Lonchura striata: one gene and its partner. The protein of the gene in region 1 purifies or fractionates together with the protein of each later gene. This does not show direct contact. Links are inferred from orthologs where the notes say so. Each region holds a gene or a part of one and is shown on either strand. Other genes may lie near its edges.

Region 1 (14,916 bases):
CATGATTATTCTTACGATTGAACAGCAATTAGATTTAATTACTAAACAATCATCACATCTAACAATTACAGCATTTATCATCTACTGGCTACACAGGTGCAGTAGCAAGTACAAGGCCTACGCTTTCCCTGGGTATTTTCCCAGGGAAAATAAGTTGAATTTTCCTTCGAACCCCAAATCCCCGTGATTTTAAACCCGTTTGCTGTCGGGGTGGGGCTCACCTCGGCGTGCTGGGCCATGGTGCTGGCCTCCACGGCGTAGATCTTGCGCGCCCCGGCCTGCGCCGCGAAGAAGGAGAGGATCCCCGAGCCGCAGCCCACGTCCAGCACGATCTGGGAAAGGTTTGGGGGCAGCTGGGATCCTCCAGGAGCCCCCCAGGCCCGGATCCCAGCGGATCCCCGGGGATCAGGGCAGGCAAAACCGCGCCGAGCCCGCGTTTGGGCTGGTGTTTGATCCTGTGTTTGATCCTGCATTTAATCCCGTGTTTGATCCTGCATTTAATCTTACATTTGATCCTGTGTTTGTTCCGTGTTTGATTCTGTGTTTGATCCTGTGTTTGTTCCATGTTTGATCCCGTGTTTGATCCCATGTTTGACCCTGTGTTTGATCCTGCATTTAATCACGTGTTTGATCCCGTGTTTGGGCTGGTGTTTGATCCTGCATTTAAACCTTTGATCCTGCATTTAATCCTGTGTTTGATCCTGTGTTTGTTCCGTGTTTGACCCTGTGTTTGATCCCACATTTAATCCCGTGTTTGATCCTGTGTTTGTTCCGTGTTTCATTCTGTGTTTGATCCTGCATTTAATCCCGTGTTTAATCCCATGTTTGATCCTGTGCTTGATCCTGCATTTAATCCCGTGTTTGATTCCGTGTTTGATCCTGTCTTTGATCCTGCATTTTAATCCCATGTTTGATCCTACATTTGATCCTGTGTTTGGTCATGTGTTTGATCCTGCATTTAATCCCGTGTTTGATCTTGTGTTTGATCCCATGTTTGATCCTGCATTTAATCCCCTGTTTGATCCCATGTTTGAGTCTGTGTTTGATCCTGCATTTAATCCCACATTTGACCCTGTGTTTGATCCCATGTTTAATCCTGTGTTTGACCCCATATTTGATCCCGTGTTCGATGTATGATCCCATATTTGATCCTGCATTTGACCCTGTGCTTTATGCCATATTTGATCCTGCATTTGATCCCATTTTTGATCCCGTGTTCGATCCCAGTTTTGATCTGCATTTGATCCCATTTTTGATCCACATTTGATCCTGTGTTTGAATGCCACATTTGACCCACATTTAATCCTGTGTTTTATCCCATATTTGATCCTGCATTTGAACCCCTTTTTTTGATCCCAGTTTTGATCTGTGTTTGATCCTGATTTTGATCCTGTGGTTTATCCCACATTTATCCCATATTGATCCTGGTTTTGATCTGTGCTCGATCCCATTTTTGATCCCATTTTAACGCGCGTGGGAACGGCAGCAGTGGGGCTGGCCCACACCCCTGGCCAGCTGTGCTCCCCAAGGATGGGAAAAACAACCCAATTTCCAGCTCTGGGACAAAGCTGTGCTGCTGGAGCTGGAGCCAAACCCCAAAATCTGGCTGGTTTGTCCCAAAAGCGAGCAAGGCTTCCCAAAAAAACAGGGCAAGTTCTCCAAAAGGTGAGACGGGATTCCCACCTGAATCCAAGCTGGATCCTGCCCAAAACCCAGCCAGATTCCTCAAAAAAGCAGACAGATTCCCCCTAAAATCCAGCCAGATTCCCCCAAAACCCAGCCAGGTATTCCCCCTAAAACCCAGCCAGATCTCCCCAAAAACGGAACCAGATCTCCCCAAAACCCAAGCCAGGCTTCCCTCCTTAAGCCAGTCTCGACAAAAACCCAGTCAGACCCCCCAAAACACACCGGGTTCCCCCCAAAACGAGCTGAACCCCCCGAAAAATGGCAGACCTTGTCCTTGAAGTCGCTGTGGTTCTGCAGGATCGCCCGCTGGTACGTCCCCGTGCGCACGTAGTCCTGCATCATGTTCTGCTGCTGCGACAGGTACCCGTAGAACTGCCAGACACACGGACAGCCCGTCAGCCCGGGATCCTGGCTGGGTGCTCCCCCCAAAACCCGGCCAGATTCCCCCCAAAACAAAGCCAGGTATCCCCAAAACACAGCCAGATTCCCTCCAAAACCCGGCCAGATTCTCCCCAAAACAAAGCCAGACTCCCCCCAAAACCCGGCCAGACTCCCCACAAAACCCGGCCAGATTCTCCCCAAAACAAAGCCAGCTATGCCCAAAACACAGCCAGATTCCCCCCAAAACCCGGCCAGATTCCCCCCAAAACAAAGCCAGCTATCCCCAAAACCCGGCCAGATTCCCCCCAAAACAAAGCCAGCTATCCCCAAAACCCAGCCAGATTCCCTCCAAAACCCGGCCAGACTCCCCCCAAAACCCGGCCAGATTCTCCCCAAAACAAAGCCAGATTCCCTCCAAATCCCGGCCAGACTCCCCACAAAACCCGGCCAGATTCTCCCCAAAACAAAGCCAGCTATCCCCAAAACCCGGCCAGACTCCCCCCAAAACCCGGCCACGTATCCCCAAAAAAGCAGACAGATCTCTCCAAACCCAGCCAGATTTCCCCAAAATCCAACCAGGTATCCCCAAACCCAGCCAGATTCCCCCCCCAAAACCCGGCCAGATTCTCCCCCCAAAACCTGGCCAGATTCCCCCCAAAACCCGGCCACGTATCCCCAAAAAAGCAGCCAGATCTCCCCAAACCCAGCCAGATCTCCCCAAAACACAGCCAGGTATTCCCCACAAAACCCAGCCAGATTCTCCCAAAAACCCAGCCAGATTCTCCCCAAACCCAGCCAGATCTCCCCAAAACCCGGCCAGATTCTCCCCAAAACCCAACCAGATTCTCCCCAAACCCAGCCAGATCTCTCCAAAATCCAGCCAGATCTCCCCAAACCCAGCCAAATCTCCCCAAAACCCGGCCAGATTCTCCCCAAACCCAGACAGATTCTCCCCAAAACCCGGCCAGGTGTGCCCCCAAAACCCGGCCAGGTGTGCCCCCAAAACTCGGCCAGATCTCCCCAGACCCAGCCAGATCTCCCCAGACCCAGCCAGATCTCCCCAGACCCAGCCAGATTCTCCCCAGACCCAGCCAGATCTCCCCAAAACCCAACCAGATCTCCCCAGACCCAGCCAGATCTCCCCAAAACCCAACCAGATCTCCCCAGACCCAACCAGATTCTCCCCAGACCCAGCCAGATCTCCCCAAACCCAGCCAGATCTCCCCAAACCCAGCCAGATCTCCCCAAACCCAGCCAAATCTCCCCAAAACCCGGCCAGATTCTCCCCAAACCCAACCAGATTCTCCCCAAACCCAACCAGATTCTCCCCAAACCCAACCAGATCTCCCCAAACCCAACCAGATCTCCCCAAACCCAACCAGATCTCCCCAAACCCAACCAGATTCTCCCCAAACCCAGCCAGAATCCCCCCCCAGCCCCGGGAATTCCCACCTGGAAGTACTGCACGGCCGAGGACTCCTCGGTGCGCTCGCTGAACACCGAGCGCTCCGTGTTGTGTCCCCGGCAGTTCTTCAGGATGTTGTAAAAAGAGCAGAAATCTGGGAAAAATACAAAACAACCCAAAGGGGGGGGTTGGGGGTTATTGGGGGATCCCCGGGGAGCTGGGGGGGATGCAGGGGGGCTGCGCACCGGTGGGGGTCCCGAATTGCAGCAGCACGCTGTTGCAGCCCAGGGTGATGATGAAGGATTGCTTCCCCACCCGGCTGCACTCCGTCTCGCGGGACACGGAGCACTTGAACACGCAGACATCCTCGTCTGGGGGAAAAAAAGGGGATTTGGGGGAAAAATGGGGGGGAAATGGGAATGGAGGGGGGAAAAGGGGGATTGTGGGGGGAAAAAGGGGGAAAAAACAGGAATGGAGAGGGGAAAATGGGGAATGGAGTGAAGAAACAGGGAATTGGGGGGCAGAAATGGGAATGGGGGGAAATGGGGAATGGGGGGAAAAACGGGGAAAAATGAGAATGTAAGGGGAAAAAAGAGGGGGGGAATGAGAATAGAGGGGGAAGAAAGAGGGAATTGGGTGGAAAAAACAGGAATGAGGGGAAAAATGGGAATGGGTGGGAAAAATGGGGAGAGGGAAAAATAGGGAATTGGGGGGAAAACAGGAATGGGGGGGAAAAACAGGGAATGGAAGGGGAAAAGCAGGAATGAGGGGAAGGGGAGCACCGGGAATGGGGAGGGGGAAGGGAGAACGGGGCGGGCACGGAGGGAAAATGGGGTGGAATGAAAGGAAACGGGGAGGGGACAGAGAGAAAAGCGAGGTGAGCGCCAGGCCAGGCCCCCGCCCGGTCCCGGTTCCGAACCCTCCCAACAGAGCGGGATAAAGCACAATTAACCTAATTAACCTCTAATTACAGCGCGGGGGGGGGGGGCTCCTAAAGCACGGCCCGGTGTTGGGGGGGGGCAGCCGGAATTCCCGAAAGAAATGAGGATTTGGGGTCAGGGAAGAGGATGGAGGGGCTGGGATCGCCCCAGGAGTTGGGAAGTGCCCCGGGAGCCATCCCGGGAGTCAGCCCCGTTCCCCCGGAACCGGCCCGGGGACCGGGAGCCATCCCGGGAGGCACCCCCGGAGCTCCCGGCCGCTCTCACGCCGGAAAAACCGACCCAGCCGCTTCCCAAAAAAATAAAATAAAAATCCCGGTTTCCCCCCCTCCCCTCCCCACACCTCCCGGGGGTCCTTCCCACGCCGCGGGAAGTTGCGGGAGGGACCGGGAGCGGCGGGTTTCCACCGGGAGCACCGGGAGCGGGAGCCCCGGCGGCCGCGGCTCTTTGTGGGCGATGAAAGGACCGGCAGATGCTCCGCCCGGACCACCCGGAGCCCCCCGGCCCGGCACACAAAGGCAGCTCCGGAACGGCGGCCGCAGGCTCCGGGGGCAGCTCCGGTTCTCCCGGCACCGGGAGGAGCCGCGGGCTCGGCGGCCGTGCCTCAGTTTCCCTCCCCACCCCCTCAGCATCGGTGTCAAAGCCGGCGAAGCCGCGCGTTAATTATTCCCGCCGGCTCATTATTCCCGCCGGTTCATTAATTATTCCCGGCGGTTAACGAGCGCCCCGTTAGCACCGAGGGGAGGGGGCCGGGGGTCGCTCCCCACCACCCCCCGGTAGCCGCGGGAATCCCGGCGGGCGCCGAGTTCGGGGGGAGAAAATAAATAAAGAGGAGTTTAAAAAAAGCCCCAAAGCAGGGGAAGAGCCGGGACCGTGCGCCGAGACAAAGAGCGGAGCCGGTGCCGCCGCCGCCTCCCGTGGCCCCGGAACCGGGGCGGGGGTACCGGGAAGGTCACGGAATCGGGGCCGTTTCGGGTAAAAGCGGGCAGGAGCGGGGGGGATGGGAATCAACTTTCCGCAGCCTCCGGGAAACGCCGGGGGACGGGAACGGGAACGGGGACGGGGACAGAAACGGGGACACGGGCGGGGGGCACGGGGGAACCGGGACCCCCCCCCAGCCCGAGCTGCCCCCGAGCCCCCCCGAGCTGACGGACACTTAAAGCCCCCCCAAAACCCTTCTCCGGACCCCTCCCCAAACCAGCCCAGCCCCCCCGAGCCCCAAATCCCCCAAACCCCCCCAGCCCCCAACCCACCCCCCAGACCCACGCGCCCCCTCCCCACCGACCCCCCCATCCCCACGGACCCCCCAGGGACCCCCCCCAGCTCCCCACAGCTCCTGCCCGACCCCCCCCATCCCCCCCGTCCCCGGAGACCCCTCGGGGCCTCCTCAGGGCCCCTCCCCCATCCCCTCAGAGCCCCTCACGCCTTCGCCCGCCCCGCTCGGGCCGCGCTCCCGGGCGCACTCACGGCCGTAGAGGGCGATGGCGGCGCTGTCGGGGCCGGTGCGGACCTCGAGGCGCAGCGGCTGCTGCTCCTGGTGCCGCTGGATCTCCCCGTTCGCGTCCCCGACCGTGAGGAGCCGCACGCCGGGGAACACCGACACCGCGGCCATCTTGGACCGCGCCGCGCCCCGCCCACGCGGGGCCACGCCCCCCGACCCGGCCGGGACACGCCCACAGCGGCCGGGACACGCCCACAGCGGCCGGGACACGCCCACAGCGGCCGGGACACGCCCACAGCGGCCGGGACACGCCCACACTGACCGGGACACGCCCACACCGGCCGGGACACGCCCACAGCGGCCGGAACACGCCCACCGCCACCCGGGACACGCCCACACCGACCCTGGGCACGCCCACAGCTGCCGGGACACGCCCACCGCCACCCGGGACACGCCCACACTGACCCGGGACACGCCCACAGCGACCGGGACACGCCCACACTGACCCGGGACACGCCCACAGCGACCGGGACACGCCCAGCGCCACCCGGGACACGCCCACACCGGCCGGGACACGCTCACACTGACCCGGGACACGCCCACACTGACCCGGGACACGCCCACAGTGGCCGGGACACGCCCACACCGGCCGGGACACGCCCACACTGACCCGGGACACGCCCACAGCGGCCGGGACACGCCCACACTGACCCGGGACACGCCCACCGGCACCCGGGACACGCCCACACCGGCCGGGACACGCCCACCGCCACCCGGGACACGCCCACAGCGGCCGGGACACGCCCACACCGGCCGGGACACGCCCACAGCGGCCGGGACACGCCCACAGCGGCCGGGACACGCCCACAGCGGCCGGGACACGCCCACCGCCAACCGGGACACGCCCACACCGACCGAAACACGCCCACACCGACCCGGGACACGCCCACACCGACCGGGACACGCCCACAAAAAAGGCAGCGGGCGGGGCTGGTGCGCCCCCTGGCGGGCGGGAGGGCAACGGGACACCGGGAATGGGAACGGGGCTGCGGGAATGGGCATCGGGAATGGGAACGGTGTACCGGGAATGGGAACGGGATACCGGGAATTGGAACGGGGCACCGGGAACGGGGCACCGGGAATGGGAACGGGATACCGGGAATGGGAACGGGGCACCGGGAACAGGAACGGGGCACCGGGAATGGGACAGCGGGAACGGGAACGGGGCAGCGGGAATGGGCACCGGGAATGGGAACGGGACACCGGGAATGGGAACGGTGTACGGGGAATGGGAACGGGATACCGGGAATTGGAACGGGGCACCGGGAACGGGGCACCGGGAACGGGGCACCGGGAATGGGAACGGGATACCGGGAATGGGAACGGGGCACCGGGAACGGGGCAACGGGAATGGGAACGGGGCAACGGGACACCGGGACACCGGGAATGGGAACGGGACACCGGGAACGGGAACGGGGAACAGGGAATGGGAACGGGATACCGGGAATTGGAACGGGGCACTGGGAACGGGGCACCGGGAACGGGACACCGGGAATGGGAACGGGGCACCGAGAACGGGACAGCGGGACACTGGGAATGGGACAGTGGTAACGGGAACGGGGCACCGGGAACGGGACAGCGGGAATGGGCACCGGGAATGGGAACGGGACAGCGGGACAGGACAGCGGGAATGGGGAATGGAACGGGACACCAGGAATGGGGCACCAGTACCGGGACACCGGGAAGGTGGCGGCGCTGGAGACGAACACCTTTATTGGCACCATCGAGTCCGGTGGAGCACCGGCAGCACCGGAGGCGGCGGGATCCTCCCGGAGGGCTCCCGGTAACCGGATCCAGGGCCAGCCTCGATCCGTGGGGACGCCGGGAGGCGCTCCCGGCTCCGTGTCCTCACCGGGAACTAGGAGGGGCAACCGGGACCCCCGGGACGCCTCACCGGGACAGCGGGAGGGACGCGGGGGTGGATTTTGGGGGGACACGCGTGGGCTGGAGGGGGCTGCGGTGGGTTTGGAGGGCACGGGGGGTCCGGACTTACCGGGAATTCCCGGTTCTGAACCCCCAAAATTCCCGGTTCTAAACCCTTGGAATCCCCGGTTTTGAACCCCCAAAATTCCCGGTTCTAAACCCCCGGAATTCCCGGTTCTAAACCCCCAAAATTCCCGGTTCTAAACCCCCGGAATTCCCGGTTCTGGACCCCCGAATTTCCCGGTTCTGGACCCCCGAATTTCCCGGTTCTGAACCCTCGGAATTCCCAGTTCTAAACCCTTGGAATTCCCGGTTCTAAACCCTCGGAATTCGCGGTTCTGAACCCCTAGAATTCCCAGTTCTGAACTCCCGGAATTCCCGGTTCTGAACCCCCGGAATTCCCGGTTCCGTACTACCATTATTATTGCTATCATCCCCACTATCCCTTTTTTATTGCCATTATTCCCACTATCATTCCCACTATTCCTATCACTTTTATTCCCATTATTCCCATTATTCCCGCTATCATTCCCGCTAGTCCCACCACTTTTATTCCCCTTATTCTCTTTATTCCCGCTATTATTATCACCACTATTCCTATATTTTTTACTCTCCTTATCCCTGCTATCCCCGCCATCACTCCCCCTCTTCCTATCACTTTTATTCCCATTATTCTCGCTATTATTTTATGCCGCGCTCCCGCCCCGGTTCCCTTTGTCTCAGCCCCGGCTAGCTCTTGTGGGGCGAGGGCGGGCGATGGAGGCACCCTCCGCCGCTCCCAGCTGGGGTTTGGAGAGTGCCTTTGTGGGTTCCGGGCAGCGCTAGCAAGCCTCGCGGTGGTAAATGAAGAGCGGATCCTGCTGGGGGCTAAGTCCGAGTTTATTGTAGCCCAACGGGGCTAAATATCCTAGAACGGTGCCAGCCAACAAGAACAAGCACAAGGTGCTTGCACTGGCTTATAAACTGTAAGGGAGGGGTATCCAACGACCAATGGGGATAGGGATAGGGGGTGGCTCCGGGATGGGGGGATATGGTGGGGTCCAATGGGGGAAGGATATGGGGGGAGCCCCAGGTCCTCGCCCAATCACCCGGTGCCCTGAGTAGAAGCTTCTGGATGGATGGGAAGGGGCACCGAGTGATAGACAAGGCACCCGGGGGGGGTAAAATGCCTCTTTCAGGGTGATGGATAGATACTGGGAAGGCGGGAAGGGCGGACAAGGCGGGAAAACTGGGGATAAACCAAGTTGCACACGGGGGTACAAAGGAATAAACCAATACATAATACAGGGATAATAAAACATATACATAACGCAACTCCACATCTCCTCCTTTTTTTGTTTAAAAAGAAAGAAAGGTGAAGAGGATAAAGTAAGTCTTTAAACGGGGTCTTCACAGTCACTGGGCTCATTTTGAAACTAGATGTTTCCTTTTTCTGGAAATTCTTCTTTTTGAAACCCTTCTTTGTTCAAGGGTTTCAGTTCATCACTATGTTAAAGCTTGTAAGAAACACAATGAGTCCCAGCAGCAGCAAAAGTCCTGTTTCTTTAGAAAGCAACTGAAATTAATAGTCGAGGTAGGGGAGGTCTAACTCAAAGGGGAACAGAGAATTTCCGGAGCCAGGGAGGGAAGAGGGGGGATCAGGTGAGGGGGACTTTTTCCGCCGTCGGAGGGCGGCGTACCCAACTTGAGGACTGTCCGGTTTTCTCTTCTGGGTCTTAGGGACATATGGTCTGACGAATTTGGAAGGGACCCATCTCAGGCCTGAGGGCGTGGATACGCAAGCGTACCCCCGTCCCCAGGTGACCAAGTCATAGGGTCCCTCCTGTCGCCAGGTCTCAGGGTTTTTAATGAGAACTGGCGGCTTTTCCCTGACCTTGCTCTGCTCGTAGGAATTAAAGTGCCTCGCGATGGGGGGGTTGAGGCACTCGAAAGAACAGTTTAAGAAATTGATGGTAAAAAGGGCCCGCGCTAACTGAACCTGGGGGGACTCATTTTTAGCTGACGACTGTTGTTGTTTAAGCATCCTTTTGATGCTTTGATGAGTCCTCTCTACCACGGCTTGACCTGTCGGGGAATAGGCGATGCCAGTTTTATGTTCTATTCCCCATTGCTGCAGGAAGCCTGCGAATTCCTTGGATGTGTACCCGGGGGCATTGTCTGTTTTTATCTGTTTTGGGACGCCTAGCATGGAGAAGGCTTGTATCAGGTGTTTCTCTACTTCCTTGGCCTTCTCCCCTGTGTGGGCAGAGGCGAAAACTGCTCCAGAGAAGGTGTCTACGGAGACATGGACGTACTTCATCCTCCCGAAGGAGGGGATATGAGTAACGTCCATCTGCCACACCTCACAGGACTTCAGACCCCTAGGGTTAGCCCCTGCGCTCACTGATGGTAGTGGGAGCGACTTACAGGACGGGCATGTGGCCACAATGGCCTTGGCCTGGTCCCGGGTTAGATGGAACTGCCGGACCAGACCAGGCGCATTTTGATGGTAAAGCTGGTGGCTTATTTTGGCTTGCTGGAACTTGTCCGGGAGCGGCGCCAGCTGTGCGGGGGCGGCAGCGAGGGAATCGGCACGCCAATTGCCCTCGGCCAAGAACCCCGGCAGGTCGGTGTGTGACCTGATATGCATCACATAAAACGGTTGCTCTCGGTGGGAGACTAGCCTTATCAGCTTAGAGAGCAACCTGTTAAGGGCATCGTTGGAGACACCTTGCAGGATTGCATCCTGTGCTCTAGACACTACACCTGCTACATAGGCCGAATCAGTTACCAAATTAAAAGGTTCAGAGAACCGCTCAAAAGCTCTAACGACTGCGGCCAACTCAGCTACTTGAGGGGATCCTTCTACTTCAACAACATCTGCCTCCCACTGCTGAGTTTGAGGATCTTTCCAAGTCACTACTGACTTGTGGGACCCTCCGGACGCGTCCGTAAAAACTGTTAGAGCCTTTAAGGGTTTTTTGCTCTGAATTTGTTTTGTTGACAGAGTGAATTGGATTTCGGAATTGAAAATTTTGTGGGCCGGTCTCAAAACAGAAATTTTTCCGGTGTAGCTGTCCAGTGCAAACTGCAATGATTCATTCTCTTGCAGCAGGTGTTCTAACATTGCCTTTGTGAATTGGCCCGATTCTAATTTCAAAGGAATGTGGATGTGATCAAAGTCACACCCCGCCAGCTCCCGAATCCGCGTTCTCGCTTTGCGGATTAGCTCTGCCACCAGCTCTTGTGGCCGTGTCAACCTTTTGGATCGTGAATGACTCAGGAATACCCACTCTATGATGGAGAGTGGGTCCCTTTTGTCCTTATCCTTGCCCTTTCCTAGGGTGTCTGCCCATTGGAAGATGACACTGTGGAGGTGTGGCAGTCTGCCCAATATGATGAATTTGAAGGGCAGGCCCGGATCACACCTATGGGCCTGCCTGGCAGACATTGCCTCCTGAACCTTCTGCAAAGTGGCTTTGGCCTCTGGAGTGAGTTCCCTGGGAGAACTAGGCTCTTCCCCCCCTTTCAATAAATTGAAAAGAGGGGCTAGGTCTTCGTTGTTAATACCTAACCAGGGTCTCACCCAGTTTAAAGACCCACACAGCTGCTGCACGTCGGCTAGAGTCCGAATTGAATTTTTTATGGCCAATTTCTGCGGAACAATGGTCCGCTTGTTTATCTCCAAACCCAGGTACTTCCAAGGTGGCATTCTTTGAATCTTATCCTCTCGCAGCTCGAACCCTACAGCAACCAACGCACTGGTTGTCAGTTCAAGCGCGTGTGTAAGTAGATCGCTGTTGGGGGCACAAATAAGAATATCATCCATATAGTGCTGGATGATCACGCCCTCGGTGGCTGCACGCACAGGGGACAGCAATGAAGAGACGTACCACTGGCAAATGCTTGGGCTGACTTTCATGCCTTGGGGAAGAACTTTCCAGTGGTATCTCTCCATTGGGGCTTCTCGGTTGATGGAAGGAACCGAGAAGGCGAACCGTGGTGCGTCATCAGGGTGTAGGGGAATTTGGAAAAAACAATTTTTGATGTCAATGACAGCTAATTCCCAATTTTCTGGTAACATCGTGGGGGACGGCATCCCTGGCTGGAGAGGACCCATGTCTTCTATTACATTGTTGATGGCGCGAAGGTCATGAAGGAGGCGCCACTCGTCTTTGCCAGGTTTTTTTAGGACAAAGACAGGGGAATTCCAGGGGGATGTTGTTTCCTGGATATTCCCTTTGGCAAGTTGCTCCTTCACGAGCTCCCGAAGCGCTTTTAATTTCTGTTTATTGAGCGGCCACTGCTCTACCCACACTGGTGTATCTGTGAGCCAATTAAGTTTTCGGGTAGGACGCTCTTCAGTGACTGTTGCCCGAAAAACCTGGGGGGTCGGGATGTTAATTGTGACCCCCCACTGGGCCATCAGGTCTCTCCCCCATAAGGGTTCTGTGTAATCTAATACGAACGGGCGTAAATAGGCCGATTGTCCGTTCGGCCCCTCAAATTTTACGATGTTTTTTGATTGCTTTGCCAATTGAGAACCCCCTACACTTTGAATTTTCCCTGCCACGTTTTGCAATTCCCAGCGTGACGGCCAATCCCGTTCGGGAATGACTGTTACGTCTGCTCCTGTATCTAGGAGACCGCTTAGGTGTTTGTACTCCCCATCCTTCCGCATATAGTAGGAGAGCTTTGGTCTTTCCTTCCCTATGACCTGGGCCTGGCACACCTGGTAGCTCTTCTTCGCTGATTTCTTCCATAGATCCTCAGGGTGTGCCGGAGGCCCAGATGCTGGAATGGCTTGGGCGATGATTTGGCCCTTGGGAAGGAAGACTGGAGGATGGGGGCAGTGCAGCCACACCACTAATCGCTCGGTGTTCCTGGATGTCAGGGATGGTGCAATAGTGACTTCGAGAGGCGTGAATTTTGTGTCCCCAAGAACGATGTACTTACTGTGGAGGTTCCTCCAGGTTCCTGGGTCCTCTGTGTCGACAGCGATGGAGTGCCAGTCGCTGTCCCTTAGGTGCAGAGCTTCAGTCAGGGCCAACCTATATGGGGAGAAACCAGATACGATGTTAAGTATCGGCTTGGGCTGGTTCGGGCCTCGACCCAGCCAAGCAGTGGGAATGAAATCCACATCTTCTCTCATATAGGCTGGTTTGTCAGCCATAATCTGGTGTGTCAAGTCCAGTGAAATGTCCTCAGGTGGGCATTGCAGGTAGTCGTCCCTCCCCTCCTCTGATGTTATAGAACCCACCATATTTATGTCCTCGCGCAGGGAGGGACTGCGCTGATGACTCAGTTTTTTTGTTTTCCCCCCGAGTTGGGGGCACTCTTTTCTTGTCGCTGTTGTTTAAACCTAAAAAACTCGTCCCTCAGCGGGCATTGGGAAGCCCAATGTCCCTTCTGCCTACATAGATTGCAGGCCTGATGGTGCTGTTGTCCCCTCGGGGGTGCTCCTGTAGGGCGGCGATCTGGAGAAGGGGTGGCTGGCGGTGTCACGGCTTCAACGAAGGCTACTCTCTTTGTTGGTGGTTTAGGAGTCTCTGGAATGTCTTTAGCAGGAACTGTCACCTTCTTCGCACAGACTTGTAGCATGCTTTGAAGGGTAGGCTCAGGGTCCAGGGGCAGACTGAGGATTGCTTGCCGGCACGCGTCGTTAGCGTTCTGCCTCGCAACTGTGGCAAGCATCCCCTCTCGCAGCCTCTCGTCCGGGACCTGAGCCTCCATCGCGTGATGCAAGCGATCCACGAACGCGACAAAAGGTTCTAGGGATTCCTGCTTTAGGGACAAGAAGTTAATAACCGTACCGCTGGGTCTTAACTTAAAAAACGCCTTTTCTGCTGCCCTAGTGCTGACTTGCAGCGCCTCTCTGGGGATTTTTTCCGCCTGCTTGGTCCCCATTTTCCAATCTCCCTCCCCGCACAAGTGGTCTAGCGATATTACAGCCCCATCTTCATCCCTAGAGCTATCTGCATTGGCCCAGAGGTCAGGTAACACCTCTCTGATCTCCCGCTTCCACTCGGACTCCCAGATGAGGAATTCTCCGTGGGTAATTAAACAGGAGAAGAGAGTTCGCATGTCTGCTGGGACATATTCTTTGGAGGAGAGGGTTGCTTTTAATAAGCCTCGGAAGTATTCGCTTTCCATCCCGAACCCCTTCTTGGCCTTGCAGAGCTCTTTGATGGTCTGCTGGGGGATGGGGGACCACTGTGCAAGGGGCCTACCCCCCTGCCGCGGGGTACAGGTGACAGGTGCGGCCGAGAAGGCAGGTAGGGACTGGGGTGGATTGGGGTTCCCACGCTCCCCCCCCCCGGAACCGAAAGCGTGGGAACTGGAAGTGGGGTCGTGGGAACCAGGGGACGAGGCGTGGTCTGGAGCAGGGGGAGTGGTATGGTGGGGACTCCCCTCCCCGGGGGTGGAGCTGAGGGGTGGGGTGTTGAATAATTCAAGAGAGGGGGAGTTGACGGGGGGTGGAGGAGGGATGTGGGCGGAGAAATCCGGGGAGCAGAAGGGGTTGGTCTGCCGGAAGGGATTATGGGAGGGGGGAGGACAGGGATCATGGGAAGAAGGAGCACGAGTGGCGGGAAAACCCACGCGGTCACCTCCATCTTGTGTCCTGGGGAAGGGGGGAGAAGGGGAGCCATTTTGGGGGGTTCGGGGATGGTGGATGGGGGATGAGGGATCTTCGGGGGTTTGGGATAACTGAAAACGAACGGAGTCTGTACGGGACGGGGCTGTACAGCGCGGGGAAGAAGGGGAACGGGTAGAAGCAGAGACAGTGCCTGCACCGCTCTGCGGGGTGTCTAGGGTATTCTCAGAGGGGCCAGAATCTGCCTGCGGGCAATGCCGGGATGCCTGTCTGATAATACCCGACTTCGGGAGAGAGGGAGAGTTTTGCCGCAGTTTTCCCGCAGCGCCCGCCGCAGCCGCAGCCGCGGGAGCAGCGACAGCAGCCGCCCCGTGCCCTGCCGCAGCCGTGGGAGCAGCGACAGCAGCCGCCCCGCGCTCTGCCGCAGCCGCAGCCTCGGGAGCAGCGACAGCAGCCGCCCCGTGCCCTGCCGCAGCCGCAGCCTCGGGAGCAGCGACAGCAGCCGCCC
Region 2 (14,644 bases), on another chromosome or scaffold:
TCAGCAGCTCCCAAGGTTCTATAAAATTACATTTACGTGGTGAATGTAAAATCACAGCATGGAATATTAAATCCCTCCCACGGTGCTGAGTTTTTGTCACCCTAATATCCAGTATTCACTCACTGGATGTCACCTCCTCGCTGTGCCAGGTGACTTCCAAGAGAACAAACATCACTTTTCCAGGAAGAACATGGAGCAATTTGAGCTACCCCAGTCTCTCAGCTTTTCCTCTTCCCTCAAATCAGATTCTTCTAAAACCCCTTAAAAAAAAAAAAAGCTTTTGAGACCCAGAACTCTCAAAGTTTTAAAGCTGTGGTGCTAAATAACAGTCAAACCTAACTGAGCTTTGCAAAGCATCAGCTCAAAGCCAAAGACACCACAAAGACACAGTGAATGGAAACAATTATCATTTCAGTGTCTGACCACCCTGAGATGTGACTTCCCCCAGCACTTTCTCAGGAGCAGGCACATATCTGAGAAATTAAATCTTCCCAACTCAGAGGACACAAATTCCCATGGGGCTCCCCAGTGTCCTGTCCTGTGTATAAATCCTGAACTAGAAACACGAGCCTGGAAAGAAGTGAAAGCTAACATTTCAAAGCTGCATTTCAATTTGCCCTCTTCCCTCCCCCTGGAATTAATGTTTTAATTATATCAAAATCACAGAATATCCTGAGTTGGAAAGGATCCACAAAGATCACCGAGTCCAACTCCTGGCTCTGCACAGGACTTTGGACAAGGGCTGGAGGGACAGGACAAGGGGGAACAGCTTCCCACTGCCAGAGGCAGGGATGGATGGGAGATTGGGAGTTAGGAATTCCTGGCTGGAAGGGTGGGCAGGCCCTGGCACAGGGTGCCCAGAGCTGCTGTGGGTGCCCCTGGATCCCTGGCAGTGCCCAAGGCCAGGCTGGGAGCAGCCTGGGACAGTGGAAGGTGTCGCTGCCTGGCAGGGGTGGAACTGGATGATTTTTAAAATCCCTTCCAACCCAAACCAATCTGGGATATTATGAATCTCCTTCAAAAAACAAATCCAGAAGAATTTGCATCCTTGTACTGATTTATTCTACTTCTCTTTTCCAGATATTTTCCTTCAGAGAAAAAAGAAAATTACATGAGAATGCACCTTGCAAAGCCTATCCTTAGTCATGTGAACTTTTTCAGACAATAAATTTCTTTTCTTGCAGCTCCCATTTTTACCTCTTGCAGGAGGCACTGACAGCTGGAAGCTAAAAAGGAGCACAACACCTTCTCATCCTCCTTTGCACTGCCACTATCCTGCAGATCCTTTTAATGAGAAGCCCATTACCTTGCCTGAGGTTCCCTGAACAATAAGGGGGAAAACCCTTCAAAAAGAAGCCCAAGACTCCCCTCCATCATTTCTGCATCCTAATGAGCAGCACAAATGGATCTTTAAGCAGTAAAACACAGCAGCCAATTTCCCAATCAATTCACAGTGGCTTTGAGGGATCACAGAGGCATCAAGTCCAACAGGTCTCCAGGTTCTCCCCTCATGCCCACAAAATGATCCTGCAGCAAATAAAGGTTTCTAAGCAGTGAATTCCAGAGGACAGAATGATGCTCTGTTCCATAAGAGGATTTTGCTCCCATGCTGAAATGCCAAAGCCCCACTGACACAGCAGAGTTCTCCAACCTTTCCACAATAATTAGAAACACAAACCACCCCCTGTCTTTAAGCAGAAAATGTGTGGTCAGAAAGCAGAGTGTGAGCAGCAGCAGAGGGAACGACTGCAGCCAGAGCTGCACTGCAGCTGCCCTGGCAGCATTTGTCACTGGTGGGGGACAGATCCACAGGCAGCTGTGATGTGGGCACTGACCTCAAACACCCACACCAGCTCTGCAGGTGGCTCTGTGCACAAACCTTCCCCAAACAAAGCACATTTCAGCTCAGGGCACACATGAGAGCCAAGGGAAACCCCACACTGAAATGCTTTGATTTGGGATAAACCTTTGTTCCTTTGCAAAGGTGAGAGCACAGAGGAGCTGCAGACAGAACCTCCCTGGACCCCAGCTGCACACACAGAACCCTCCCTGGATCCCAGCTGCACACACAGAACCCTCCCTGGACCCCAGCTGCACACACAGACCCTCCCTGGATCCCAGCTGCACACACAGAACCTCCCTGGATCCCAGCTGCACACACAGAACCCTCCCTGGATCCCAGCTGCACACACAGAACCCTCCCTGGATCTGAGCTGCACACACAGACCCTCCCTGGACCCCAGCTGCACACACAGAACCTTCCCTGGATCCCAGCTGCACACACAGAACCTCCCTGGATCTGAGCTGCACACACAAAACCCTCCCTGGATCCCAGCTGCACACACAGAACCTCCCTGGATCCCAGCTGCACACACAGAACCTCCCTGGACCCCAGCTGCACACACAGAACCTCCCTGGATCCCAGCTGCACACACAGACCCTCCCTGGACCCCAGCTGCACACACAGACCCTCCCTGGACCCCAGCTGCACACACAGAACCTCCCTGGATCCCAGCTGCACACACAAAACCTCCCTGGATCTGAGCTGCACACACAGAACCTCCCTGGATCTGAGCTGCACACACAGAACCTCCCTGGATCCCAGCTGCACGCACAGAACCTCCCTGGATCCCAGCTGCACACACAGACCCTCCCTGGATCCCAGCTGCACACACAGAACCTCCCTGGACCCCAGCTGCACACACAGAACCTCCCTGGATCCCAGCTGCACACACAGACCCTCCCTGGATCTGAGCTGCACACACAGAACCTCCCTGGATCCCAGCTGCAGACACAGAACCTTCCCTGGATCTGAGCTGCACACACAGACCCTCCCTGGATCCCAGCTGCAGACACAGAACCTTCCCTGGATCCCAGCTGCAGACACAAAACCCTCCCTGGATCCCAGCTGCACACACAGAACCTCCCTGGACCCCAGCTGCACACACAGACCCTCCCTGGATCCCAGCTGCACACACAGAACCTCCCTGGATCCCAGCTGCACACACAGAACCTTCCCTGGATCTGAGCTGCACACACAGAACCTCCCTGGACCCCAGCTGCACACACAGACCCTCCCTGGATCCCAGCTGCATGCACAGAACCTTCCCTGGATCTGAGCTGCACACACAGACCCTCCCTGGATCCCAGCTGCACACACAGACCCTCCCTGGATCTGAGCTGCACACACAGAACCCTCCCTGGATCCCAGCTAAAACCCCTCCCAAACTACCTTGGAAAGAGTTTTCAGAGACAACAAATAACTGCTTTGGGACAGCCCATTTTAATATGAGGGATTATTGAGAAAGGAACTGCCTGAACAATGCACAATGTCCTAGATAAATGAGCATTGAGATAATAAAAAGAGAATTGCCCAGTTTACTTCTACACTGTGAATTTCTAAGTTACTATGGTGACATCAAGGTGTCCATTACAGCCTTTCCAAATTACTTTGAACAAGGGATCGAGGGACAGGACACAGGGAATGGCTTCCCACTGCCAGAAGGCAGGGATGGGTGGGATATTGGGAAGGAATTCCTGCCCGGGAGGGTGGGCAGGCCCTGGCACAGGGTGCCCAGAGCAGCTGTGGCTGCCCCTGGATCCCTGGCAGTGTCATGGACAGGGCTGGGAGCAGCCTGGGACAGTGGAAGGTGTCCCTGCCATGGCAGGGGGTGGAATTGGATGGGCTTTAAGGCCCCTTCCCACCCAAACCATTCCAGGATCTGTGACTTTGTTCCATGTAAGTCTCTCAGATGCCCCAGGACTCCAAACCCACGGCATGAGCCCATTCCCAGCTCTCAGGGAAGCAAGGCTCCACCATCCCTACTGCACCCGTACTGCCTGGGATGGGGCTGGCCACCTCCTGCATCCCTTCATGCACAGAACACCACAAACCCACTTCCAGACACTCCACACACAAACTGGGAGCAGGAGGGAGCCTGGAATAAATCTGCTCAGTACAATACCAATAATTTAATTTTCTATCATTGTCTTTGGTGCCTGTCAATGAGTTTTTCAAGGTCCAGTGTGAGTCTTCCACACTACTACTGAAACCTCCTTTGCTCTAAATTGTACTCTGAAGATACAGAGAGCTCCTCCACAGCTGTTGTACTCTAGAAACACAGAGAACTCTTCAATATTTAAGTCTTGTCTAATCCAGAGACAAAATGAGCAGCTCTGTAAATGCAACTCTCCAACCCTCCCTGCCCCTCAGGACCTCTGGATCCCTGACTGAGCTCGGTGGTGCTCTGGGATTATCTCCAGCTGGTCCCCAGTGTCCCTGGAGCTGGACACACCAACTGCTGCTGACAGCTTCACCACTGAGATGTACAAACATCTATTTTTAAGAGTATAGACTGGACAAAAGCCAGTTAAAATCACCACGTACTTCTCTGGGAGGAGCCACGCACCTACAGCAGGATGAAAACAGAACAAGTTGAACCAGAGTCCATTTCCAGCACATCCAAAAGGGAGCCAGCCCTTCCCTCCTGGAGTGTTAAGGCTTGATCCTTGAGCACTAGTATCAGTTTTCTTGTTTCCTCAAACCAAAATTACTTTTCATTTTTTAAAAGGATCGTCACAGCAACATTCCAAAACTCACTCACCCTGTAAAGTCTCCTTAGCCCAACTCTAATTACCTTTCAGATTCGCGAGAAATAAATACCTATTTTAGATAACCAGTTTGAAAGGAGGGGCTTTCCCTTGGCTCCCATTGCTGCACCACACAGAGCCAGCACAGAGCCAGCCTGGCCGGGGATTTCGAGCCACAGCAAATCCTTTCCGTGCTCAGCAGGGCACCTGGGCCCTTCCCGGAGCAGCGATTTCCCGGGATCATCCCGGGGCTGCTCGGCCAGGGCAGGGAAAGGCGAAACCACAGCTGCTCCAGGGCGTGGGACAGCACAGAACCGCAAGCGGAACAAGCCAAACTGCACGAGTATTCCGTAACATTTCCCCGTCAACACAAAGAGCTCGAGCGGCCGCTGCAAACGGCGCCCCACGCCCCGAGCCCAGCTGGAAGGACTGGAAAAACACACCCGAGCCCGGGCGGCTCCCACCCCAGGGCGCTGCAGCTCGGATTCCCAGGTCGGATCGCCCTTCTCGGATTCTCCGCCTCACAAAGAAGCCAAGCGCCAGCCGGGGCTGCTCCAGGGGCGGTGACAGCGGGGCTGCCCCAACCCGGGGAACGGCGGCGAGGAGGCGGGCCGGGGCCGCGCGGCTTCCCCGGGCACCGCCGCGCGGCGGAGCCGCTGCCAAGCCACGCCGGCCATCCCCCCCGGCTGCGGACCGAAATGGAGTTAGAAAGTCAGCACGCTTTAAAATTAAAACGCATAAAGAAAGCGAAGCAGCCGGGGCGTGCGAGGAGGAAGAGGAGCCCGCGGGCAGCAACGACGCTGCCGCAAGCGAGCCCGGGGCACGGCGCGGGGTTCAGCGCGGCTCCCAAAGCTCCCGCTGCGGTTTCCTCCCTTTGCCCAGCACTGCCGGCACCGCCGGGGCGCGGCTGAAGCGAAACCCGGCGGGGCCGGGACCTGCCCGCGCAGGAAAGTCGCTGCCGGGGCGAGCGGGCACCGGCCGGGCCCCGCGGGCAGCGGGGACGTCCCGGGGCCAGCGGGGCTGCCCCAAGCGCGGCCCCGGGCACCGGCCGGCGCCGAGGGAACGGAAATGTGCCCGGCGCTGCCGCCGAGCCGGCCCCGCGCCCGCCGCGGCTCACAAAGAGCGGAGCAAAGCTGCGGCCCCCCCCCGTCCCGTCCGCCGCCCGCCCGGTGCCCTCCGCCCCCGCCGGGCCGCACCTTCTTGTAGTGCTTCCCCAGCCACACGCGGACCGAGTCGAGCTGGGACACGGTGTCGGGGCTCTCCCAGAACTTGCCGGCAGGGCCGCCGTCCTTGCGGCGCGCCGCGGCCAGCGCGGGGCCGGGCCCGCCCGCCGGGGCCGCCGCGGGGCCGCTCCCGGGGCCTCCGCCCGCCGCCAGCGCCGCCGCCGCCATTGTCCCCGCGCGCCCCGCGCCGCGCATGCGCCGCGCCCGCGCCCCGCCCACCCCGGCAGCGCGCCCGCCGCCGGAGCGGGAGCGCGCTCGGGGACGCGCTCGGGGGGTCGGAACGGGAGCGCGCCCTCGGCACCGGCAAGGGGGTGCTCCGGGCCCCGAACTCCCCGTCCGTGCCCTCGGTACCTCTCTGGTCTGCTCAGGCCCCGCCTGGAGACCCCGAGCCCCAATTAAGGAGTAAATTGGGTGCTGACATAATTACCTGCAGGTGTCTGCACCAAGTCTTCACTGTTTGGGTGCCTTTATCTTTCCACAACCAGAGCCCTGGAACGGGTCATTATGAAGCAATTCCCCCCAATTTTCCTTTATAGAAACCACTTAGTTTTGAGTGTCTAGTAATGTTTTATTTGTGAATTGAACATAACAGAGAAAAAATTTAACAAACCAAAACCATGATAAACCATTTAAAAATACATATTTTAGTTCCAACATTATTAAATAGAGCACCAAGAGGTCCTTCATTAAAATCACAATCCCCAGTATAAAACTGTCCCTTGCATTTACAGTAGTTTGTAAATGTTCCTCGTCCCTGAACACTCCAAAGCAGAAATAAACACCTGCAGGAAAGGAAACCTCTGGAGATACAGGGAACAATAAACCCAGCAAACATCCTGCAATCTGAACTTCACCATTTCAGAACTGCCATTCTCAAAAGGCAGCACAATGAGCCCAGCCAACAATTCCAGAGGGTCTGTCTTGGGAGAGCCATAAAATCTCATCCCATCGCATCCCTGATTCCAGAGGGTCTGGCTTGGGAGAGCCATAAAATTTCATCCCATCGCAGCCCTGCCGTGGCGGGGACACGGAGCACTCGCTCCCTTCCCCTGTCCCGGCTGCTCCAGCCCCAATGGGACACTGGCCTGGGACACTGCCGGGGATCCAGGGGCAGCCACGGGTGCTCTGAGCAGCTCCCCGGTTGGGATCGGGATCGGGGCTGGTCCTTCCCCAGGATCGGGATCGGGGCCGGGATCAGGATCAGGGCCGGGATCGGGGCTGGGATCGGGATTGGGGCCGGGATCGGGATCGGGATCAGGACTGGGGCCAGGGCCGGGGCCAGGATCGGGGCTGGGATTGGGATCGGGGCTGGGATCAGGATCGGGGCCAGGATCGGGACCGGGATTGGGATCGGGGCTAGGATTAGGATTGGGGCTGGGATCAGGGCTGGCCAGGTCCATCCCCGGGATCGGAATCGGGGCCGGGGCCGGGATTGGAGCTGGGATCGGGATTGGGGCCAGGATCGGGGCTGGCACGGTCCATCCCCGGGATTGGGATCAGGGCCGGAATCGGGATCGGGATTGGGGCCGGGATCGGGGCTGGGATCGGGATCAGGGCCGGGGCCGGCCGGGTCCATCACCAGGATTGGGATCAGGGCCGGGATCGGGATTGGGGCCGGGATCGTGACCGGTGCCGGGATCGGGGCTGGCCGGGTCCATCCCCGGGATCAGGATCGGAATCGGGATCGGGGCCGGGATCGGGACCGGGATCGGGATCGGGATCGGGCCTCAGACCGGGATCGGGACCAGGACCGGGACCGGGACCGGGATCGGGCCTCAGACCGAACGGGTCCCACGGCGGGGCCGAGGCTACAGCGCCCCCAGAGGCCGCGCCGCCCATTGGCTCTGCCGTTGCCATGGGAACAACCCTCGCCGCCCATTGGCTCTGCCGTTGCCATGGGGACATCCCTCACCGCCCATTGGCTGTGCCGTTGCCATGGGGACAGACCCCGCCCCGCGCCCACGAGGGGCATCGCGCCGCGGCGCCGCCGGCCGCGGGGAACGCGCGGGCCGCCTCAGTTCCGGGGAGAGCGGAAGTGAAGTGCGCCGCGCCGGAAGCGCGCGCGGGTGCTGCCGGGAGCTGTAGTCCCGAGGGGCGGCCCGGCGGCGGCAGTCGCGGTGCGGAGGTCGGTGCTGGGCGGGCGGGGGTCGGACCGCGACCCCTGCGGAGAACCGGGGGGGCCGCGGGGGCGGCACGGCGGCGGGAGGCGGGGGACGAGCGGGGGATGGCGCCGAGCAGCGCGGGCTGAGGCGGGGAGGGCCGTGCGGGGCCGCGGCCTGTGCGGGCGGGGCGGCGCGGGCGGGGATGCTCGGCGGCACCGGGGATGCTCGGCGGCCCCGGGGATGCTCGGGAGGCCTCGGGGATGCTCGGGGAGGCTCCGGGGCACCGCTCCCCGCGGGCCCTGGGCGAGGGGTCGGCGGGGGGAGCCCCGGGAAGCGGCCGCGGAGCGCGGCTGTGCCCGGAGCTCCGTCCCTGCCCGGGGCAGGCTCCGCTCCGCTCCGCTCGGAGCTGCTCTGCCGCTGCCCTTCCCGCTCCCGCCTCTCCGCGCCCGCCTGCGGCTCGTCCCCGCCGGCCCCGTGGAGCCCCGGGGCCGCGGGAAGGGTCGCTCCGGGTCAGCGGTTTGGCCCCGGCGCCCGGGGCCGCTCGGAGCCCGGTGCCACCGGCAGCGCGTCCTTGCCGCCGCTCAGCAGCGAGGGTCCTGCGGGGCTGGCCGGGAGGAAAGGATTCCTGTAGGGAAAGGTTTCCTGCAGCCCTCCGCCGCTCCTTCGGCCCAAAGCACGGAAAGTACAGGATAAATCACGGCTGCGAGCGGCGGGCTGGCGCTGCCCGGAGCCCGGGCAGGCAATCCTTGGGCTGGATGTGCCGACAGCAGGATTTCTCCTTTGTTCTCCTCACAAAGCACTCGGGGCTCTGCCCCTTCCAACACCGCTGGACTATCCCAGCAGCCAATAATCGGAATTGCTGTGATTTTCCCTGCGTCTCTCTCGGCGATGTGGTTTTTCCTCATGTAGTTGTTTTCCAGTGGATCAAGGGACCCCAGCAATTCCTTCCCATCCTTTGGGATTTTATCTGACAATGTTCCGTGCCGCTTTGCCTGGTTTCACTCTTTGCCTTCGCAGCAGGAGCACTGAGTCTGTTCCTAACAAACTTTTAGTGTTTCTTGTGCCACTCGGGGCTCTGGAGTTTGCTGGGTGTGAGGCACAGGGCTCCACACTCCTGTGGATTCTCATTCCAGCTGTGCCATTGCCTGTCCAGGCCATTTCTTCACAAATCCAGTGTCCTCGGAGCTCCCACATCTCTCCTGTCATCAGACAAAATCCATTTTGAGTCTTGCAGTATCCCTTTCCATCTCTGTGTTTCCCTGCGGGCTGGAGCAGCTGCCACAGTTGGACACTTATTATTTGGGATTAGGATCTGCAGGAGCAAACCCTGGGATTTCCCCCAGGCTGCTGGATGTGCTAAAAGTGATTCCCAGGTTGCGCTCCTGCTGTCCAGATTCAGCAGATCCTTTATTCTCCTCCCTGTCCTGCCCCACTCCCACCCAGTCTGATTCTTACTGGTTCCCAGTAAGGCTCCCAGCCCAGCTGGGATCTGCAGCCAGGATCCTACCAACAGCTGGGTTGGAATCTTGCTTATCCAAGGGGATCTCAGTTGTTCACCTTGGAGCCTCATCCCCGGAGGGTTCTCCATTTTTTATTTCTTTGTTCTTGAGCAGAAAAGACCACTCTCATCAACTTTGTATTGCATTTACCCTTTTGGGTTGGAAGAGAGTGTAAGGATCATCCAGCAAGGCCGTGGTCAGGCTGTTCCCAATGTCCAGCTTGGTCTTGGACACTTCAGGGATGCAGGGAACACCCACAGCTTCTCTGGGAATTACATCCCAGCCCCTCCCCACCCTCCCAGCCAGCAATTGCTTCCCAATCTCCCATCCATCCCTGCCCTCTCTCAGCTCAAAGGCATTTTTGGAAGAACCCTTTTCCCCACCCCAGCATGGCTGGGGCATTCCTTGTTCCTGCTCCCTGAATTCCCACTAGGGAACGCTGCAGTTTACCTGCCCATCCTGTCCCAGGAGCTGAGGGAGGGATTCCCTGGATGATTCCCTGGGGTACCCCCAAAAACAGCTGCCCCTCTTTGGTCAGAATGTGCAGGGGGATGTGGCCAGTGCCCTGGGAGATGCATTCCCTGCAGCATTCCCTGTCCCACTCCTGGTTTCCTCTCTGCAGCACTTCTGGAGCATTCAGGGATTGGCTCCTTTCTGTCAGAGCAATACTGGACTCACCCAACTCATCAAAATCCCCTTGGCTTTAGGGCAGTTTAAGCCAGGCTGGGGTGATCCCCATGGAAGGGGACACAGGCTCCAGCCTTGGCAATCTGGCTCCAGAACCACAAAAAACCTCCCCGACTTTGTTCCCTGCAGTGATTTATCACACCAGGGACATTCCCCTCTGAGAATCACCACAGCACACGTGGGGTTGAATTCTTGCCAAGTCAATTAATCTGGTTTTATTGATTTCATCCTTGGAAAAGGCCAGGTGTGGCCCTGGCAGCCAGGGCAGGTTGGTATCCGTGTGTCCGTGGGGAGGAACCCATGGACCATGGACAAGGTGTCACATCCAGAGATGTGGCCAGAAAATGGGCTGGGTTTATTTGAAGCCTTTTTTTTTTTTTGCTACTGAAGTAATTTTGTCTTACTGAAAGCAGAAGTGAATAATTGGAATGATAATTGCAGGCTATTAATTGCATGCTCAGGAAGTCATTGATGGGGACAGTCAATGTCCATAGAATCCCAGAATATCCTGCCTTGGAAGGGATCCACCAGGATCATGCAAGTTCAGCTCCAAACTAACTTTGTGTGTAAATAATGACCTTCACTCCTCACCCATCTGACCTGAGTTTATAGAAAAGCCTTGTTACTGTTTCCAAGAATCCCTACAGTGTATTTAACACTTGGCATGACAGATAAAACACCCCAAAACAAAGTTGGTTTTCTTAACTGAGTGAAAGTTATTTTAGTAAGAAAATAAATAGGAAGTTTAACACAGTTTCAGTAAAGAACATTATCAAAATTACAGTTCTCTTTCTTCTCCTGGTTTTTTTGGTTTTCATTTAAAGGGAATAATGGCAACAATCTACTTCACCTTGGCCTAAAAGGCTTTTAAAAACCCCTCATTTTCACCACTGAGCCAAAGCAGAAGCACCTGAAACATTTTAAAGGAACTACCAATTCTAACTTGCAGTTTCTTTGTGCTCCCTCCTGCTGTCCCAGGAACCCACCCTTCCCGCTGGGATGGAGATGTTCTCGCTGAATTCCCTCAAAGGTAAGAGCTGGCACAGCCTGGGGCTGCACTGGGGATTGTCCTGAGCTCGGAGGGGGAAGCTGGAGCAGGTGGCTGAGGAGGAGGAGGAGTTCACTGGGTGAGGAAGGAGCTCAGTGTGGCAGCAGAGCTGGCCCAGGAGGGACAGGACAGGATTTCAGGGAAGCAGAGGAGCCCTGCAGTGTTATCCAGAGACATTGGACACTTGCTTGCTGTTCAGCTTCAAGCACAGGTTTTTTCCCTTTTAATTTTGTCCTCCTAAATATTCCTGTATCCCTCAGTACCTACTCCACGAGCTCTTTATCCTTGGGATTTGATCCTGTAATACCTGTCACTGTCACCATGGCTCTTTTCCCTGCCATTGCTTTGCCAGCCTTCCTTTCAATCATATTTTGTCCTCAGAAATCCCTCCAGTCACCATTTTCTGCTTTAACTTGTGGATCTTTCCTGAGCTCTGTTACTTGGTCTTAAAGAGAGTGGATAGAATGGACTAAAATATTCCCGCTCTGGCTGAGGCAGAGGGAGCCTGCCTCCATCCCAGGGAATTCATCCTTTCCCCTGGCACTCAGGACACGCAGCAGTGACCCCACCACTCCTGTCACTGCCCTGCTCTGAGCCACCAGCACTGGGGCTGCTGGATTTACCCTAAAAATCCCAGAATTCTTCCCAGCCCGGGGCAGGAATTGTGTACAGAGTGCCTTCAGCTGGGAACAAAGCCCCTCTCCTCCACCAAATCCTGTCAGTGGGGTTGGAGTTGGGTGGAGAGACGGAATTTCCTGGTGAGGGCTGGTGGTTTGTCACAGCCAGGCTGGGTTTGGGACTCGGGATGCTCCAGCCCTGGGGATGAAGGAATTCCTGAATGACCCGTGGCTCCTTAAGGAGCTGCTGCCCCTGCACAGGCTTGGCTGGAGGGGCAGGTCCAGCCCAGCTCATCCAGGAGCTGCCAAAGCTGGGAGATGGCTCTGGAGACCCTGCCTGTGCTGGCTAACGCTGCTCTCTGCAAAATAAAGATACCTGGAATCGGCGACCTCTGGAATTTTTTAATAAATTGAGTCTTCACCGCTCTTTCTGTGCCCACAAGATAATTTTTTATATCATTTTTGGTGACAAACCACCAGCCCTCCTCACCCCTGACTGTCCCTGCACACTGGGACTGCCTGTCAGCCTCTTCCCCCAGCTTTTCCAGTCTCCTGTCTGTGTGTTTCCAAGATTTCCCCAGCTTTTCCAGCCCCTTCCTGTGTGTTTCCAGGATTTCCCCAACTTTTCCAGCCCCTTTCTGTGTGTTTCCAAGATTTCCCCAGCTTTTCCAGCCCCCTTCCTGTGTTTCCAAGATTTCCCCGACTTTTCCAGCCCCTTCCTGTGTGTTTCCATGATTTCCCCAACTTTTCCAGCACCCTGTCTGTGTGTTTCCAAGGTTTCCCCAGCTTTTCCAGCCCCCTGCCTGGATGCTTCCATAATTTCCCCAACTTTTTCAGGCTCTTCCTGTGTGTTTCTGAGGTTTTCCCAACTTATCCAGCCCCCTGCCTGTATTTCCAAGTTTTTTTCCAGCTTTTCCAGCCCCCTGCCTGTGTGTTTCCAAGGTTTTCCCAGGTTTTCCAACCGCCTGTCTGTGTTTCCAATATTTCCCCAACTTTTCCAGCCCCTTCCTGTGTGTTTTTGAGGTTTTCCCAGCTTTTCCAGCCCCCTGCCCATGTTTCTCCAAGATTTTCCCAGCTTTTCCAACCCCCTGTCTGTGTTTCCAAGCTTTTTCCCAGCTTTTCCAGCCCCCTGCCTGTATTTCCGAGGCTTTCCAGCCTCCCTTTCCTTCCAGTCCTCCCTGAAGCTTTTGCTTCCAAACCCACCTCAGTTTATTCCTGAATAAAAAGTAAAAATTATGGTAAAACAGTAAAAACAATAGTTTTTACTGTGCAACGTGCTGTCACAAGATTAACACAGGATTAATTCCCTTAAATGGAATGAGTTGTTTTCCTTTTTAGGGGTCTGGGTGATCTTTGGACGATTTTTGAATGAACAATCAGTTTTGAATGATTTTTCCCGATTTTAGTGGACCAATCTCTTAAAATTTGTGGTCCAAGTGCCAGAATAACTTAATGTATTTCAAAAAAGAAAAAAAAAGGTGGGTTTTTTTTGTCATCTGGTGCCGATTCAGGATCTGGGTTTGTGTCTCCACTTGTTGGGTTTGTTTTTTAGTAAAAGAACTTACAAAGACAAATCAGCAGCTAATTCAGAGGTTCTAAAAAGGGAATACATGAGAAGGCAAACTTGGTGTAATATGACTTTTTTGAGTGTTGAACTCTTCTAAAAAGTTGGGTTGTTTTTTTTTTTTCCCCTTTTTCTTAGTTTTTTTTTTCCTTTTTCCTAAGGGGTTTTATTTGATTACTTTATTCATCTTGAACCTCTTCTCATGGAGCCCAGGCTTTGTAAAACTGAGCTGTGCCATTGTATTAGTCAATATTTTTTACCTTATTGAAGATTTCTCTTTCTGATTTAAAGAAAAAATCAGAAAAAAACCAAAAATAAGCAAACCCTCCTGAAAAACTTTTAAAAACCCCTTTTGCATCATGGTGCTTAACCAGCCATTCATGTTAATTTTCACTTTACACACAAAATACTCAATAATAAAGTTTTTGACATAGAAATGAGACCCTGGTTTAAAGAAACGCAAAACTTAATGGTAGTCCCAGTACAGCCAGGGCTAATGGAGATTAATTGCTTAGGAAAACAAAAAATCAGATTTAAATAAATAATCCTGTAGGGTCAGAATTTCATTCGGCTCTAGAGCCTTAAGAATTCTAGACCTGGATATGAAATAATTAATGTAGAACTAATTATTAAATAATGAGTAACAGGAGACTCGGAGTTGTGGGGAAGAGCTGACTTATTTCATGAAGATTCTAAGATCTTTAAGATTTTCATTTTTGATTGTGTAGATTTAAGACTCGGTAAAAATTTAAGTTTTTAAGTTCCTTAAAAGACTTCTTTTAAAGCTTATGAAGATTTTGATTTTTTCAGTGTGTATCTCAAATATTAGCAAACGACGGGCTGCAGGAGCAGCTGGATTTTGGGGATACGCACTTGACCGTGAGGGTGGGACAGTGGCTCTGGGCACCGCGGTGCTCCTGGGCTGGAATTCCCGGTGTTCCCTGGCCGTTATTCCCGGTGTCCCCATGGCTGGAATTCCCGGTGTTCCCTGGCCGTTATTCCCGGTGTTCCCCGGTGTCCCCATGGCTGGAATTCCCGGTGTTCCCTGGCCCTGATTCCCGGTGTTCCCCGGTGTCCCCATGGCTGGAATTCCCGGTGTTCCCTGGCCCTGATTCCCGGTGCTCCCCGGTGTCCCCATGGCTGGAATTCCCGGTGTTCCCTGGCCCTGATTCCCGGTGCTCCCCGGTGTCCCCATGGCTGGAATTCCCGGTGTTCCCTGGCCATTATTCCCGGTGTTCCCCGGTGTCCCCATGGCTGGAATTCCCGGTGCTCCCCGGCCGTTATTCCCGGTGTTCCCCGGACGTGATTCCCGGT

What was found.
Region 2: the proteins of CARM1 (region 1) and SMARCC1 purify together in Homo sapiens (affinity purification with western blotting; 3 studies listed by BioGRID and IntAct, with this or other methods). This does not show direct contact. The link is inferred for Lonchura striata from reciprocal best matches to the Homo sapiens genes CARM1 and SMARCC1.

What each region holds. Positions count from the first base shown.
Region 1 is NC_134623.1:1,180,534-1,195,449, reverse strand, and holds the start of CARM1 (histone-arginine methyltransferase CARM1), read right to left. Parts: upstream 6,033-14,916; 5' UTR 6,023-6,032; coding exon 5,878-6,022; intron 3,844-5,877; coding exon 3,718-3,843; intron 3,627-3,717; coding exon 3,520-3,626; intron 2,059-3,519; coding exon 1,954-2,058; intron 333-1,953; coding exon 222-332; intron 1-221. UniProt on the Homo sapiens protein: Methylates (mono- and asymmetric dimethylation) the guanidino nitrogens of arginyl residues in several proteins involved in DNA packaging, transcription regulation, pre-mRNA splicing, and mRNA stability.
Region 2 is NC_134603.1:156,471,352-156,485,995, reverse strand, and holds the start of SMARCC1 (SWI/SNF complex subunit SMARCC1), read right to left. Parts: upstream 6,033-14,644; 5' UTR 6,009-6,032; coding exon 5,787-6,008; intron 1-5,786. UniProt on the Homo sapiens protein: Involved in transcriptional activation and repression of select genes by chromatin remodeling (alteration of DNA-nucleosome topology).